Linked DNA regions of Drosophila melanogaster. The protein of the gene in region 2 purifies or fractionates together with the protein of the main gene of each other region. This does not show direct contact. Each region holds a gene or a part of one and is shown on either strand. Other genes may lie near its edges.

Evidence for each region. The genes of interacting proteins can lie anywhere in the genome.
Region 1: the proteins of Ugt36D1 (region 2) and CG11200 purify together in Drosophila melanogaster (affinity purification with mass spectrometry, with the first as the bait; one large-scale study listed by BioGRID). This does not show direct contact.

The regions. Positions count from the first base shown.
Region 1 is NT_033778.4:20,302,356-20,311,731, forward strand, and holds CG11200 (uncharacterized protein), read right to left. Parts: upstream 6,317-9,376; 5' UTR 6,206-6,316; intron 6,145-6,205; 5' UTR 5,792-6,144; intron 4,282-5,791; 5' UTR 4,241-4,281; coding exon 4,060-4,240; intron 3,997-4,059; coding exon 3,889-3,996; intron 3,113-3,888; coding exon 2,731-3,112; intron 2,674-2,730; coding exon 2,277-2,673; 3' UTR 2,162-2,276; downstream 1-2,161. Other genes in the region: CG13868 (uncharacterized protein), read right to left, coding at 7,218-7,391, 7,458-7,828, 7,895-8,869, 8,915-9,154.
Region 2 is NT_033779.5:18,820,168-18,828,624, forward strand, and holds Ugt36D1 (UDP-glycosyltransferase family 36 member D1), read left to right. Parts: upstream 1-3,380; 5' UTR 3,381-3,513; exon of another isoform or gene 3,514-3,576; intron 3,577-4,132; 5' UTR 4,133-4,138; coding exon 4,139-4,414; intron 4,415-4,629; coding exon 4,630-5,000; intron 5,001-5,066; coding exon 5,067-5,705; intron 5,706-5,762; coding exon 5,763-6,036; 3' UTR 6,037-6,549; downstream 6,550-8,457. Other genes in the region: Ugt36F1 (UDP-glycosyltransferase family 36 member F1), read left to right, coding at 89-343, 403-785, 849-1,047, 1,556-2,004, 2,090-2,381; Ugt36E1 (UDP-glycosyltransferase family 36 member E1), read left to right, coding at 6,835-7,092, 7,343-7,719, 7,779-8,457.

The DNA of each region.
Region 1 (9,376 bases), on a different chromosome or scaffold from region 2:
TCTGCTTGACCAACCCTAAGTTGCTCTTCCACTTAATGTGGTTTTTATTTAAATGTGCTTGCTGAACAAAAGAAGCAGCAGCAGCAGCAGCAGCAGCAATTTGGTTGCACTCAACTGGCGGCGAATTCTTAGCAACAATTTGCTGCTCCAATTAAATTCCCAACTACGAACTCGGAGGCTTCTTCTGGTTGCGGCCAAGTGTCAGTACATTAATCATGAGGTGATTTATGGCGCCCACGCCATCGACGCATGTGCTCACGTTTTTCTCGCTGCCAGCAGCAACATCAGCGCGTGTGGGCAGCCCACCGCCACCCACCCACTCCCACTGCCACCACCACCTCCTCCGATTCCCCCGGAAAACACCTGGCCCCAACGCATGCATTGTTATGCTCCGTTAGCCGTTTTAGAAGCGTGTGGCAACTAAACGATGTGGCAAGAGTCGACCAAATTGCTGCCGTGGGCGTAGGAGCTGCAACATCAGTAATAGCAGCCACGGCAGCAGCATCAGTAGCATCCCCTTCCGAAAACTTCCTCGACCAGGTGTCAAAAGCCAGCCATAACTAAGATGAGGAATACAACATCCACAATCCGCAGTCCAAATGCCCATTGGTGCCAGGCGATCCGATGAGTTTATTAAGCTGGCACTTAACACAAAAAAAAAATGATCGTTAATACATGAATTCATTATTTAATTGAGTCTGCAACAGAATAATGGTCAATACTTTGGATAAGTAATAACCATAACTATAACGATTTATATAAATATGTTACACATATTAATCAGCAAAATTATCCACACAAGCTAATCATTGGATTTATGATCAACCAAATTGATATTTTCTTTCGGTGCAGCAGCTGCCGGCGGATCGTTTGAGCTTGTCAGGTGAGGCATGTTGAGTGTTTTAATTACCGCCGGTGCACTGCGGACTGCAAGATCGGTTGCATCCGCATAAACCGGCAACTGTGGCCAGGTTTATTTGATTTACGCGTGGTCATTAGCCATTGCCAAGTGGCTAAGAAGTCTTGGTCTTGGCGCTGTCTGCCTGTCGAGAAATGTCAAAAGGTTAATTGGATTGTGGCAGCCGTAGCCGGAGATGCCACCGAAATTGAATTGAAAACTAAATCTGAAGCCGGACCCAGCCAAGAATCTTGTTGAAAGGGGAATGCCAGAATGGCTGGCCATTGAGCAGCCAACCAGAAATGGTCAATGGGTGCTCGAGTAAGTGGAATAAAGTCTAAGAGTATGGCAAATAAATTCAAAAAAATAATCTGTCTGATTAAAATGGAGATTCCTTAATCTGTGAGAGTATTTAAAAATTTAATTATAATTTTAATTAGAGAACATCTAATTTTATAAAAGAGATCGTTGGTCTTAAATTGAGAAACTTTTTTCATTTCTGCGATTTGCTTATCCCTACTCCCAAAATCCAATCAAGCGGCTAATACTCGCGAGGCATGCAACCGATGAAAGAAGCCGCAGAAGATGGGTTCATTCGGTACTCCACTCCGCATCGAAGACAGCCTGGGAATCTGGGCCGTCTTCGTCCACTGGAGCTTTGATTGATGACAGCGCCCACCGCATCGGCAGCTTCACACATTGAGTTATCGCCGGGTCTATCTCTTCATATAGCGATAGAGTCTTTTTTGGATATGCATTAAATATGAGATTGTTTTTTTTTTTGCAGCCATCATGTCGTTCGCTTTTAAGCGTTCAGTTCGCTTAAGTGACAGTCGAGTTGTAGTTGCTTCGCAGTTGTTTTTCGAGATGATACACCTACCTACCTGAGTTCCTCCGTCTCCGTACCGCTCTCCTGGAACCCCCATACTCCTGTCCCCTTAACTGAAGTCGATTAAAATTCCTCCAAAATGTTGAATGTTAATCGCTCATTGTTTGAGGAGGCGCACAAAATTAAATTGTTTGCTTTTTCGAAAATTTGACATACAGCAGATATGACGTGGTTGTTGTTGTTGTTGTCACCTTTCAAGCTGCCGCCGCCAACTGCTGAGTGCATTTTCAAATAAATGTTTCTTGCAGCTCTTTTAATTGCATTCCCTAGCCCCACGATGGCAATCAAGCGCAGACAAGTTAATTAAAACCTAGCACAGCAATTTGACCAGATTAGCATCAGCAGATCCTGAACACAAAACACCAGCTGCAGTTCTATATAAAAATGTTTTTATACAAAAGAAATCGATTTACAAAAAAGCTGACGGTATCTAGAAAAGTACGTTGCACCAGTAGGAGGAATGTGAGATAGACTGAGTGTGGAGTTCATTTAGTATTCGCCATTTCCGTACTGCTGGATTTTCAACAGGTCGCAGGAGAACTGGAAAAGCTGCTCGCACTTTGCCGGCTTCTTGGCATCCGGATGGAAAGGACCCTTTCCGCCGTTGGAGAGGTAAGTACCACCCTGACCCTCGATGGAGGGATCAATGGCCGCGAAGACCACCGTGCGGGATCCCCTTTCCGGAGTCTTGAAGAATAGCTTCTTGAAAATGGGCACCGATGTGGTGGCCGAGTGCTCGAACAGATCCGTGTCCACAATGCCCGGATGCACCACATTGACCTGCACGTGCGACTTTTCTGCATCCAGCAGTGTCTGCAGATGGCGGGTGAACAAGATCTGAGCAAGCTTTGACTGACTGTAGGCGGTTCCCGGGTAATAGTGTTTTCTGCAAGCAGTAAAACCTAGTAAATAAGGAACTTAGGCGACAATTACTCAAACGTACGTTCCGTTAATGTCCTTATAGTTGATGCGTCCAATGAGATTCACGCAGGAGCTGACGTTCACGATCCTGGAGTTCCTTCCCTCCTTGCCTGCCGCCCTCAATTGAGGCAGAAGCAGGTGGGTGAGCAGAAAGTGTCCCAGGAAGTTGATGGCAAAGTGCGACTCGTAGCCATCGGCGGTTAGTTTGAAGGGCGCAAACATGATGCCAGCATTGTTCAGCAACAAATCCACTTTTGAATACCGCTCCTTGATGAGCTGAGCAAATGCCTTTACGGATTTCAGATCCCCAACATCCAGTTGCTCGCAGATGAGCTTGCCCTTGGTAGCATTCAAGTCGACTATCGATGCAACTGCGGTTTCGGCAATTTTGGGATCACGAACGCCTGCAATAAATGCATAAATTAAAGTGAGCCACTGACAAAAATTGCTGAGAGGACAGAACTTAATTAATAAATATCCTTTAAAACACTTTTTTATGAGTGTTTTCTAATCTACCCTATTTTACACAAAATATAAGCAATATAAGCGACACCTAGCGCCTGTATAGCGCACTTCAAGCTCTGGTTTTTACATCTATACATTTTACATAAGTTCAATGTAGAAAATAACAGTTGACTGTTAAATGATTAAAATGTTTATTATTTTAACTAGCACTAACAATAAAATTAAATATATTTAAAAAAAAAAATGATTTCTTAATAAATGAATTTTCTTAGAGACTAAAATATGCAGTGAAATTGTAAGTAAACGTATTAAAGCAAGAAATTGGAAAAGCAACAAAAAATGCCATTTTCAAAAATGTTAACGAGAAAATACAAAATAATTATTGATAACTGTGACCCTTTTCATTGAAATTTAGAATTCTTTTCTCCGACCAGTCAATGAACTCTTATCGCTTGTCTTTCCCGAAAATCGAGACTTTTACGCGACTTGGTTAGATAATGAAATCAGGAGAATGGGTCATGATTTCTGTATCGCATTGACAAGGGTGGGAATGGATCTGCATTTCGACGATCGTTTATTCGATGTTCGATTTTAGCTTGCCGAGCACGTGCACTTGCAGCACGGTTAAATGTTTGTGGAATTCATAAGCAGATCGCCGACTTATGGATAGGAATAGGCCTGAAACAAGTTGTTGGGCGGAGATTGGTCAACTCACCCATGACGACAGTCATGTCGCAGGCCAGCAGCTTCTCCACGATCCGCAGTCCGATGCCGCGATTGCCTCCGGTGATGACAGCAATGCGGTCCGGTTGTTTATAAAGTGCTTAATGGATAATGGCAACAATTAGTGATCGTGGAATAAGCATCGGCTAGCAAATTGACTTACCCACTCGATCCCGTGCCTTATACTGGGCATCGTGGACGAGCCCAACGATTCCCAGGTACTGATACCGAAACTCAGTCTTCCACTCGAACCAGGACTTCGGGAACTCCTTGGTGGTCTTCGAAAAGAGGAACGCACACAGCAGCAGGCCGACGAAGAAAATCCACAGCAAAGTTCCCAACATTATACGCTCTTATCGGATCGGATCGCCGTCTCTCCGGAACTCTGCAAAGGGAATACGGGTTTTGATAAGAAATCGGGCAAAGTGCGCCGGCTGATAACGAAAACCGATCCTGGTTCGTCACAGACATTAGCCATTAGCCGGCAACATTATCAATATTGGCGGGTAAATTCGCCTCGAGTGCACTTTGCGAAACTCTTCAACTGAGTCAGCAAGATTTCGCGATCCGAGTGCCAGCGGGTACATCTGTTGGCCATATTCGTTTGGAATTCTAGGTGTGTTGGCCATATATACTTGCCAGAGATTGATTCGTGTCACGATTCAGCTGCGAATAGTCGAGCTTCTACAATTATCATGCCTTTATACTATCAAGTTGGCGTAACAGTAGAGAGTAACTAATCACTTAAAAATGTGGTTTAATTATAAAGCTCGAACTTTTTGTAGAATGATCTTTGCTATCAATTAAAAAGGCTTTTACAAAAGTGCTGTTTTAACGCACTAATCCTAATTCGACAGAGTAACAAGAATGATGTTTGAAATCTCAGAATTTTCACCAGGAAACCCCATTTTTGGGGATAGAAGTCTAATAATTAATAAACTTTTTAATGATATTTATCAGAGAGCGTGTTCTGAAATCGACTTGACCCCATTGGCCGTCGAATAGCTTGAGTTGTTGCCTCTTTCCCTCAGTTTTTTCTTATTTGCCCAGCAATTTCCAGCGTTGGTTAGCCGGGCTTATAAAGCTAACGCGATTGTTTGGCCACCGATATTTGCAGTGCATATTTGCCACCTGCACTTTGAGCGCTGCACTGGAATCTTAATTTTTAATCGGGCGGGGAAACAATTAAATTAATTAGACAGAAGATAGTTGAGCGCGTTTATTGGGAGACAGCGAGAGAACTGGCTTAGGTGTGCTCGTAAAATGCTAATTAAAAACCCAAACAGCGGCGGAATGAAAGTTGAAGAGCCGAGCTTCGAGCCAAAGCCAATAAACGGGGCCAAAATAGTGAATTTGGGGCCAGAGCTGAAAATGACTGAGGCGCTAAACAGCAACAACTAGGGTCGGTTTCTTTGGGCTCTTCTTGCGGGGGCAGCGGGGAAATATCTGTACGGACGACCTAGCATAGTACACTGCGAAAAACTCTTTAGTATTGGTGTAAAATATAAAAATATTTACAAATTGTACTGCGCAGAATGGTTTTCCATTTTAAGAAAGTTAAGGAAATAGAATTATTTTTCTTGAGTGAAGGTTGTTTGAAATTCTCTTAATTGCTTTATCTTTTATAATAGATTGCACTTAAAAGATAAGAACTTCACTACAAATTAGAAATAGGTTTTGTATGAATTTTTCATTTTTCACATAAAGTAATTCCATTTTTTCTGTGTGTACGCATGACACCACGAACGTGCTGTCAAGAGTTTCGACTTCCGTCAACAAAACGCAAAAGCTTAGCAGTTTTACTGTTGTTGCCGCGGTCGTTTTTAATTTGGCTGCATATGGTTAACTTTCTTTTTCTATTGTTGTTGCCCTTGCAGAGGGCTTTTCAATTTTACCTTCAATTTGGCTGACGCAGACGAAAATGCACCTGTGCCTCGATTTCTATGCTAATATTGACACCCTTTTTTTCAATTAAAGGCTGCGGCGGCGCTTCCTCGTCTTTTTGTTTTCTTTCACGTTTTCGAAGAGGATCAATCGCTGGTGTTTGAAAACCGGTTTTTCCAGCGGGCCCTTATTTTCGCCACAACCGCTCGGCGAGAAATTCAAAAGCGAACTGAACGTTAGGTTTTAATTGCGCGCCTTTCCGCCAAGAACTTGATCCACGATTGTTGTTGTTTTGTTTTGGCTTATTGCCGCTGGTCAACAGGTGAATTTTACCCACTTGCCGGCTGATCACGCAGAAAAACAGCTGATATTGTACAATTACGTGGTTATGCAATGGTTAAGCGGGTCGGTCGGCGTGTTGTTACCTTAGTGTGCACTCACAAAAACGCTGATTTGAAACAACTTAATTGAAATAACTGCAGACAAGCGAAAATCCAAGGTGGATATACATCGATGGCACCAGGGCTGCACTTTCTCTGTTTCAAAATATCGATTGTTGATGTAATCATCGATATCTGCCGTCAGTATGCATTTTTCTTTATTTTGTCCTTATTCATTTGTAAATCATAAGAAACCTGAGGTTTTTAAACAAATGTTTTTATTACAGAGAAACAGAGTTTGCGTGTGCAAAAAATACCTAAATGTTGAGCTAAGCTTATTAACAGTAACATGTCTATTCTATGTTAAGCTACTGTTACCAAACTAATCGATATCACTGCCATAAAAATATCGAAATTCAAATTTAAGGCAATAATACACCTTTAATCTTTTCATGTTAGTTAAAGTTCAAGTAAAATTATGTTTTAAGTCTCCCAACAAAATACCTTCTTTCTTTTGCTAGCTGATTTATTTATTGAACCGAAATAGTACAGTGCATTTAAGTGTTTAAACGGAAATATGTTCGTACAACAATTACAATTTATGTTTTGCCTTGATACCAGTTATAACTAATTTTGCCATTATATAGTTGCGCATAAGTATATATATAGTTTGAAATTAGAAGAACCTAAGCGAAACATTGAAGTCTAAACTTTGCGCATTTCTTTTAAATATTTTGAATAAAATTTCGTTTCGCTTTCGATTAAATAATTCAGTTGGGATTACCATATAGAGCGTGTTGTCGTGTTTATAGGTGAATAAATATTTTGAAATATATACTAGACTAAATTGAATATATACTTGAATCGTGTGTGCTGGTGTAAGAGGTGCCTATATGCTACTAAAAAGAATATTACTGTGGAAAGGACAAAGTATTCAAAGTATTCAAATAGGTTCGGAACTCTAAGTTGCAGCTGCGTTGTCAATGTCTTTTATCGCCTGTTCCTCCATCTTCGTTTCCGTTTCCGTAGCAGCGACATCCTTAGGCTCCTTTAACTGTCAATTCTCCACGGACATGTTGCCGATGTCATCGTTTATGGCCAGCACCTGGCTGATGAAGCTCTGGTCGGTGACCACCTCGGCCAGGGATTTGCACAGTTCGGTCAATTCCGGCAGCGGTATCTTCAATTGCGGCGCCAGCCTGCTAAGATGTTGACCCACATAGTCCGGCAGCTGATGGGTGATAATAACTGGGTTAGTAATGGGTAACCATTGGCTATAGCTATCAGTGATCCTTACCTTTCCCTTGCCCACTTTAAACGCGCTGAACATCAGCTTCGTCCGCACTCGCTGCTCATTGGGTCCGTCGTAGAAGATGGTGAGGTAGGCCTCCTGCCCATTGGCCACCAGCGGGAAGTAGATGCCCGCATAGACCTGACCCTTGGCATCGCGGGAGAGTAGCGATCGGAAGTTGTACACCAGATTGCGGCGCACGGTCACGTCGATGGCCGTGATGTACTCTTGGGCCACGTAGATCAGCGATGTCTTGTAGCTGGTATCCTCGCCACGGATCTCGCGCTCCTTCCACTCCACGAATTTCCCATTCTGCTGACTGTAGGCATAGCAATAATCACGCTGCAGATGCGGCTCCTTGGATTGGGTGAACCAGCCTAGAAACATATTGCATCCATCAGTATATATGTATTACAATAGGCTAAGCGGAGATTACAACTCACCAGTGTGCGGATAGCTCTGATCCTGCATAACAGTCACCGCTCGGCTGACATGGTAACCTGGGTCCAGGATCATCACACCCCGTCGATCGCCGATGGCGATGCGCATGGCGACCATGACGTGCTCCTTCTCCACACCCGCGTCCACCGAATTAAGGCCGCACTCCTCGTCCAACTGAACGTAGTCGTTGCAGTCCATCACCTGCTCCTCGCAGGACACAACGTACAAGTAGTTGGCCAGCACCGGGAACATCTGCACCATCCTGGCCATGATTTCGAACGCCAGCGAGACGCACATGTGATGGCGTCTGTTGATGGGCACATCGTAGAACTGAAAGAAGCTACGCAGATCGGAGCGACGCGTGCGCTTAAAGCTGCGATAGAAGTCAACGAAGAGGTTGACCGTATTGTAGTGCGTCTCCTCCAGCATTCGCTGCAGCGTGGTCTCCACTATTCCGTTCAGCTCCTCATACTGCCAGACATTGTCGAAGATCAGGGTGCCCTTGCCAGCGGACTCCGAGCTCGACCAGTCGGGCAGCGGCAGCGGATGACCCAGGGGCCACACTCCGTTTACCTGATTGAAGGCCTCTAGGTCATAGCCGTCGCCCACTATCCATTGAGCGCCGGAGATGCCCTCCAGAGCAGCTGCGACGGGCTGCTGTCTGGCCAACAGCTGCCTGATGTCGGAGTAACGCTCCGATCTATCCACCGATGTCAGATCGGGCGAAGGCACCAGCTCGTGGTCCTCGAGGTCCTCCTCCTCTTCCTCCTCCTCGCTGGAGGTGGAGGGTGTGCGACGAATGGCGCCAGTGCCATGTGCAGTTGGGTGCTCAGTTGCGGATAAATCAGATCGCGTCGTAGTCAATCCCAATCCCATTCCGCGCACCATCGCATCCGCCAGCTGCTGATCCGCCGGGAGCAACGGATCGTGGGCAGCGGCGGCGGCAGTGGCCTCTTCATCCTCATCCGGAGAGGCCACTCCCCCATCCTCCCGTCGGTGACTGGTGGCAACGGCGAGTCAACTCGGCCATTCGGAGCCCCAGCGGCCCACGGTGGGCACATAGCCACTTTCGCAGTCATTGAGCGTGGCGTCTAGTTGAATGTTGGCGAACTGTTGTTGGCTTGAATGCAGTGATGGTTGTTGGGCAGCTTGGCCAGCCTGGGCGGCTCCAGCTCCAGCACTGATCAGACTAATCCGGCCCTGCGCTCGCTTGAACAGGAGGTCCGGCTCGTCTCCAAATTTCGTCGTTGGTTTAGACTGATCTGTATTTCATTTGTGGAAGAAATAAGATCAAGAAAGTTGATTAGAAGATGAATTGGTAAGGAATAACAAATAATAAGAATATAGTCAGATGTGGATTACAAAGAAAAAAGGACGACAGGTGTTTGTTTTTCAGCGGAATATAACCTTTCAACATTCCTTCTTTTTATAACAAGATAAGGTAGGTTCCATTAAGTATCAATTATATAAATTCCCTCTGCTTC
Region 2 (8,457 bases):
TAACACTTAAAAGTGTTAATTATGCAATCTCGATTAAAATAAATAATTTTTATTTTCCGTTCTTTTTATGTGAATAAAGTGATCAGCAATGAAGTTGCTACCTCTGGCTTTATTAGCCTTTTTATTAAGACCGAAACCCAATGACGCGGCGCACATTTTGGGCTTGTTTCAACATCCCGGAAAGAGCCACTTTGACTTCTTCCGTCCCATGTTCTTGGCCTTGGCGGAGAGGGGTCACAACATTAGCATGTATAGCTATTTTCCACTGGAGAAACCAGTGGCCAACTACACGGATTACGTCTTTCAAGGAATGCCCTTGCTCACCGATATTGTGGACTTAAGTGTGGGTGAAGTTCAAGTTCAACTATATTTCGTAATTATGTATTCACTTATGAATTTTAGAACTTTGAATCCGAATGGAAGCCCCTGGGACTGCCGTTCAAGGTGCCCACCTACTTTATGCTTCACGATTGGGGTCTGCGATCCTGTAAGGTGGCCCTGAACTCACCCCTCATCACCCAACTGCTCAAGTCCCCCATTCGATATGACGTCATACTCCTGGAACACTTCTCCAACGATTGCATGGCAGCGGTGGCCCACCTATTGAATGCACCTGTAATCGCATTGAGTAGCTGTGCGATAATGCCGTGGCACTACAAACGCATGGGAAGTCCGTTCATTAACCCCATTATGCCCATGAATTTCCTGCCCTACACTGATGAGATGAGTCTGATCGATCGACTGAATAATTTCTTTCATTTCCACACCGTTAATACTCTGTACAAGTGGGTGTCACTTGCCTCGATCCTCAAGTGCACAGTTATCTGAATCGAATTTTCCTTGAACAGCATGATTACCCAACCAGCCACCGATGCCCTGATCGCTGAGAGATTTGGACCCGGTCTGCCGCCCATCAATGAGATCGTGAAGAATACGAGTCTGATGCTGATCAATCAGCATTACGCCCTAACCGGACCACGCCCCTATGCTCCGAATGTGATTGAAGTGGGTGGGCTGCAAGTGGGGCCGATAAAACCACTTCCACAAGTAAGTTGAATCACTTACTGCGGTTTAAGAGGCCAAATGAAATGTTTAAGATCAGTATAGATAATTCACATGAGCTTATAGCTAAAAGAAAATAAATTATCTATGGAACTGTCTTATTTGACCAGATAACCGGTTATCTTTGTTAATCACATAAATGTTTTTTCTGTAGGTCACCGAACTCCTTATCAACTAATTACATTATATTTAAATCGTACCGCATACTTCAAACAAATAAAATAAAAGATAAAATGGGGATTGTAGACATGAGCATTTAATAATTATTTCGATCCCTTAACAGGCGATTCATTTGATTATTTATGCTATTTTGTAATCCGCGATTAGCCACTGTTAATCCAATATGAAAAATGTGACAAAACAGTCGAACTGAAAAAAATACAGTCGCATTTTAATGAGATTACCAAATATTACACAATATTTTTTTGTAGGACAACATTTAATATGTACATATATATAAACCCAGATGTTAAACAAATACTTTTTGTTTCAGCACCTGCTAGATCTTCTGGATCGATCTCCCAATGGAGTAATCTATATCAGCTGGGGCTCCATGGTAAACAGCAATACACTTCCTTCGGGCAAGCGAAGTGCGCTTTTCCAAAGCATTTCCCAACTTAAGGAATACAACTTTGTAATGCGCTGGAAAAGTTTAGAATCTCTGGAAGATAAACAGCCCTCGAACCTCTACACTTTCGACTGGCTGCCACAAAGAGATCTTTTGTGTCACCCAAAGATCAGGGCTTTTATCTCCCATGGCGGACTTTTGGGCACCACGGAGGCGATTCACTGTGGAGTTCCCATGCTGGTGACACCTTTCTACGGAGATCAGTTTCTCAACTCAGGCGCAGTGAAACAAAGAGGTTTCGGAGTTATCGTTGACTTCAGAGACTTCGATTCGAATCACATAACCAGAGGACTTCGTATTATACTTGATAAAAAGTAATGGGTTTCTAAAGAAGCAATCTATTCAGATTTCCTTGATAACTGTTTACTATTAACATTTTTTGATTGTATTATTTTACAGATTCGCGGAAAGAGTTAGACGATCCAGCGAAGCATTTCGCCAGCGTCCCATTCCCCCTATCAAATTGGCCACCTGGTGGATTGAGCATGTCATAAAGTATGGGGGAGCTCCACATATCCAAAGTGAAGCCAGACACATAAACTGGATCGTCTACAATTCCATCGATGTTCTCCTGTTCTGGCTGGGAATCTTATTTCTACTGATTGTCGCCCTGCGGAAGCTCATAAAGATATTCAAAACAGCTTTTTGTCGGGGGAAAATCTCTAGAGATACTAAGACAAAGACGCAATAAATGTTTATTTGGTTCAATGAACTTGAGATTTAGTCAGAGAAATTAATGAATGTCAGGAAAATGGGTCGCATGTCAAAAAGCGTATTCCGAACAAAATTATATTGTATAAATATGTTACTGAGACAACGATTTTGCTTAATTTATTCGTAATTAAAAACATATATAATTAATGTTACATAGCTCAGCTTTTTGTGAATGGAAAGGTCAGCAAACCAAAACTGATAATGAAAACGGCTTTCACTTTCAAATTTATACAATATTATCAGCTCTATTATTAACAGTGTCGTTTTGTTTGTAGCAATTACATTTTTGTAACCGAATTAGTATTTTTTCGAAATATTAAAAGAGCTTGCTAACATGGAAAATTTTAAAGATTCCTAAGAAATGTCTATTCTTGTCTATTGTTCATATATGTATGGTATGTACATATGTACAATATGTACCTTCCGTAAACCGAAAACAAGCCCGTACGATGAATTGTAAACAAGCGGAGCCTTGGGGCAAAACACGCATACATCGGCTGATAATAAATCGGCAGACTTGTGCTTGTCTTGATAGACTTTCTCTACATCCGGTAGTTGAGTCTCGTGTGCACTAGGGCATCTACACTCTCCCCAATTTTCATTGTTTTAAAATTCTTACGAGAAAGCCCGATAAAAACTCAGCAAGTTTAGGCGTTGTTTATAAACCAAAAAGAATGCAAAAACTTGTTTTCACTTTCATTTGAAATATAAATGACGGCTGTTACTATTAATAAATTAAACAAATTTGATTAAAAACCCAATCAACTTATATAGTTTTGAAATTTTTGCAAAAGTGCTTTTTTATATACAAAACTGGAATCCTAGGGTTTTATAAAATATTAATTTTATTTTAGAAGCCATGATAACAGTTTGGCTACAATATAGCCAGATTGCCAATACCGCCGAAGACTGCGATTGATTTCCGATCGCTGACTGAGCATTTTCGGCTGCGGACTCGAGCGTTGACCGAAAAGCTTTTCATTCGGATGTAGTCTCCGAATTTAGTCAGTCGCTTGTCGGCAGTCTTACAAGTAAGTAAGAGTGGAAGGTGAGCCAGAACAGGATTTATGTTCGAAAGCGACGACTCCGCGTTTTTTGGATAATATTGTGTGTGTATCCAGTTCAGCGGTTCAATTGAATTCCGGATGAAAGACCCTCACCAGGCGATAATTGTGAATATATTAGCGGGTGCAGTGCCGTTTGTGATGCAATTGCAGTTGCTTTTGTTGTGCTTGTGTTTTCCTTTGCTGCTTTCGTCCGCATTCTTTACATAATTTCCCTGCATTTCTCGCATCCGCGACATGCGCATTGCCGCCCACCGCCCCGCTCAAGGTCGCTCGAAAATACTGAAAAGCCAAGAACCCAAGAGTCAACAAGTGTTTAAGTTTCTGCACAAGGTGCAACGCTAAGGATAATCTGTTCTTATGCAAATACCATTTCTAAATTCAATTTCCGAATTTTGGATACCAATACATTTCTTAAAAAGCTATATATTAAAAAAATCAGCATTGACCTTAATGTGTAAAATGTACATCCGTCATATTTCTGTCTCATTTTCTTGTACAATTTTAAGCCCTTTTTAAGTTGTTCTATAGTTATAATTACACATGTCACGAATAGCTAAATTTGTATACCAAGTGATCTTAATTGAGTATTTGACGAGAAGTTTCAATTAATTATTCGTGATTAATTTAAAATAAAATGTTGAATTTATTTCACTTGCCGTAGGGTACAATGTGGTCGCCGCGGGTTGCCCTACTTTTCCTGGCCCTAGCACTTAGCCAACCGGACGAGTTGGTGGAGGCCGCTGGTCCGCTGAAGGTGCTGGGTCTTTTTCCCCATCCCGGAGTTAGCCACTTCCACTTCTTCCACCCCATCATGAAGGGTCTGGCCGAGGCGGGTCATGACGTGAGCGTGGTTTCCCACTTCCCGGACAAGCATCCGGTTGCCCACTACAAGGATTTCCCCCTCACCGGAATGGACAAGCTCACGAACAGTGTTGATCTCAAGGTGAGTGAAAAGGGGAATCCCATGTACACACATATCTACGTGTCGTAAACCTATCTATTGTTTCGTTTATTTATTGTAACCTAAATGATTGTATTCATTGAAAAAATGTACTCAGAATAGTCATAAATCTGAGAAATACTTAGCTATATATTCAGAGTAACTTGACTTACTATGATTTACTAGGCATTGTTTTAAACATTCTATTCTTCTTTTAGTTTTTCGAGAAGCGCACATTCTACAGTCACTTCCAGGAGTTCTTCCTGCTGTACGACTGGGGCAAACAGACATGCAACCTGACGCTCCGTTCGGAAGCACTGCAGCAGATCCTCAGGCGTCCGGGACGCTTTGATGTGATCATCATGGAGCAATTCAACACTGACTGCATGATGGGAGTGGCCCACCAGCTCCAGGCGCCGGTGATCGCCTTGAGCAGCTGTGTGATGATGCCCTGGCACTACGAGCGAATGGGAGCTCCTTTGATACCCTCTCACATCCCGGCGCTCTTCATGGCCCAGTCGCAGCACATGAACTTTGGGGGACGACTGGCCAATTGGTTCAGCACCCACGCCTTAAATTGGATGTACAAGTGGGTCTCACAATTTCTTTAAGAACTCCATAACATCTCCAATTATATTAATGTTTTCGGTCGCAGATTACTATCGGTTCCCGCTGCCGACGCCATGGTTCAGTACAAATTCGGCCATGACGTGCCTTCGGTGGGCGAGCTGGTGAAGAACACATCCATGTTCTTTGTGAACCAGCACTACTCGCTGTCTGGACCCAAGGTAACGCCGCCCAATGTCATCGAGCTGGGTGGCATCCACATCCAGAAATCGAAGCCTCTGCCTGCCGATCTGCAGCGCATTCTGGACAATGCTGAGGAAGGAGTGATCCTGATTAGTTGGGGATCAATGATCCGGGCGAATTCCCTGTCGGCGGCGAAAAGGGATGGCATTATTCGGGCGGTGGCTCGATTAAAGCAGAAGGTTATCTGGAAATGGGAAAACGAAACACTGCCTAACCAGCCACCCAACATGCACATTATGAAGTGGTTGCCACAACGCGATATCCTCTGCCATCCCAACGTCAAGGTGTTCATGTCCCACGGCGGACTCATGGGCACCTCGGAGGCAGCTTACTGTGGAGTCCCAGTGGTTGCGACGCCCATGTATGGCGATCAGTTTGTCAATACGGCCGCTTTGGTCGAGCGAGGCATGGGAACTATCCTGAATTTCGAGGATATAGGCGAAAACACGGTGATGAGGGCACTAAAGAAGGCTTTGGACAAAAAGTGAGAGTACCATGTCATGCACTGTTTTAGCCGAAACTAAATGTACTTGATTTGCAGGTTCCACGATGCTGCCAAAGTAGTCTCCCACTCGTTCCACCACCGCCCACAGCAGGCCCTGCATACAGCCATTTGGTGGGTGGAGCATGTGGCCCACACTGGCGGAGCTCCTCTGTTGAAGCCCAGTGCCGTCGAGATGTCACGATTCGTTTACTACTCCCTGGATGTCTATGCCGTGTTGGCCCTCGTCCTGGGCAGCATCATTGCCAGTTGGGTGTGGCTCCTTCGACTCTGTTGCGGATCCAGTGCCGCCCAGAAGACTAAGAAGGATTAGCTCGACTCATCCCTGCACAGCTTCGTTTGTGGTCTATGTGATATTTTATATGTTCTGTGTAAGACATTTTTAATTCTAAAGACGCCTCCCCCACGGACTGTATCTAGATGTAATCCTAGCGACGCCAAATTAATTTAATGTTTGATACTATTGGGATTTACCCGATTAAAACGAACGTAGTTTTCGAATATTGTATCTAGTACGGGAATATTATTAAAATAATGTTATAATGTTGTAATGAACAACTGCAAGGAACAACTTATTTTTAAATGAATGGAAATGAACATATTAGAAGAAATATAATATCTGAAAATTGTTTCTAGTACGGAAATAAATAAAGTTTTTAAAATATTTCACTCTTTTTCAATGCCGTGCGCATCAGTAATGTTCAAATGCTCGGAAATTCGTAGATGAAATTCCCTATGTATTTATTTCTAGCCAAGAGCACTTACATGTTGCGATACTTTTTAAGTTCCCCCTAAAAGATTGAATTATGTATGTGTGTATGTATGTAAATATAAGTATATGTATGCTTTCGGCGCCTAATTGAGCTTTTTTACTCGCCGGCGTCAGTTGATGCTCATCTTCCGACCGTTCCGGATCTAGCTCTATCTCCCCGTGTGAGTGAAACGCCGGAGAATATTATTTTTGTTTGCTAATTGTAAAATGAAAAAAATAATCGCATTTGTTAAATTTAGAAGTGCATTCCACAGCATGTAAAACTCATATCATCACGAAAATCGATTTGCACCGCTGACTCGACAAGAACTTGACCCTTTCCCCCGGTTTTCCAGCGCAATGTGTGGTTGTTGGAAGGTTTTCTGCCTGCTGGCGCTACTTTCCCTGGTCGCTTTCAGCGATTCCCTGCGAATTCTGGGTCTGTTTCCGCACCCGGCCATCAGTCACTTCAAGTTCTTTCACCCAATCATGCGCGGATTGGCCGAGGCCGGTCACAGCGTGGATGTCATCAGTCCATTCGAGGACAAGGACCCTCCAAACGGATACAAGGACCACCTGCTGCCGCCCTCCACCTTGACAGACACTATTAGCTTAGAGGTGCGTTGTTCAAAGCCATAATGAGATGGCATACCCATAAAAAAAGGGTACATAAAGGGGTCATAACTTAAATGATGAGTGAGTGCTGGTGTTATTATATTTTAGGTGATACGAACTTGAAATGTGTAAGCGTAACCCCAGATGTACTATTATACAATAGTATTATATTCTGAGCTTATCTCAGATTTTAACCTTTTCTTTTAACCTATACTTAAATTAAGAAACCCACTTTTTCTATCGGTTTTACCAGGACTTCGAACGGCCCTACAGCTTCCTATTTCACTATGTAGAGTTCTTTATCCTGCACAAAATGGGAAGAGAGGACTGCAATACCACACTGCACAGCAGAGCCCTAACTGAGATCCTTAAGAATCCTCCTGGCTACTACGATGTAATTTTACTGGAGCAATTCAATACTGACTGTGCGATGAGCGTGGCCCATGTTTTCCAAGCTCCGGTCATTGGAATGAGCAGCTGTGCCCTGATGCCATGGCATTATGAACGATTTGGAGCCCCTCTGATCCCATCGTATATATCAGCATTGTTCCAGGGACAATCCCAGGAGATGTCCTTTGCGGGACGATTGGGCAACTGGATTACTGTGCACTCCCTCAACTTGCTGTATAAGTAAGTAGTCTATATGGGATTGGGGGCTTCGAACACATTCATACATTGATCTCGTCTAGAATGTTTACAGTTCCCGCCGGAAACGCCTTGATTCGCCAAAGATTCGGTCCTGGACTGCCGTCCACGGAGGACTTGGTGAGGAATACTTCTCTAATGCTGGTCAACCAGCACTTTTCGCTCAGTGGGCCAAAGCCTTTGCCCCCAAACGTCATCGAAGTGGGTGGTGTACATATAAGTCCACCGAAACCGCTGCCCTCGGATCTTCAGAAAATACTGGATAACGCACCCAAAGGAGTCATCCTAATTAGCTGGGGCTCTCAGCTGAAAGCGTGTTCTCTTTCCGCTGCTCGGAGAGATGGAATCGTTAAAGCGATTGGAAGATTGGAGCAGGAGGTCATCTGGAAGTATGAAAATGACACGCTGCCCAATAAGCCACCAAATCTGCACATCAGGAAGTGGCTGCCTCAGCGAGACATCCTCGCTCATCCAAATCTAAAGGTATTTATGTCCCACGGTGGCTTAATGGGCACCACGGAGGCGGTCTCCAGTGCTGTGCCGATTGTGGGTGTCCCAATTTACGGCGACCAATCCCTCAATATTGCCGCATTGGTGCAGCGCGGAATGGCCTTGCAATTAGAGCTTAAGAAACTGGATGAGAATACTGTCTACGAAGCGTTGACCAAGGCACTAGATCCTTCTTTCAAGGCAAGAGCCAAGGAGGTGGCCTCATCGTACAAC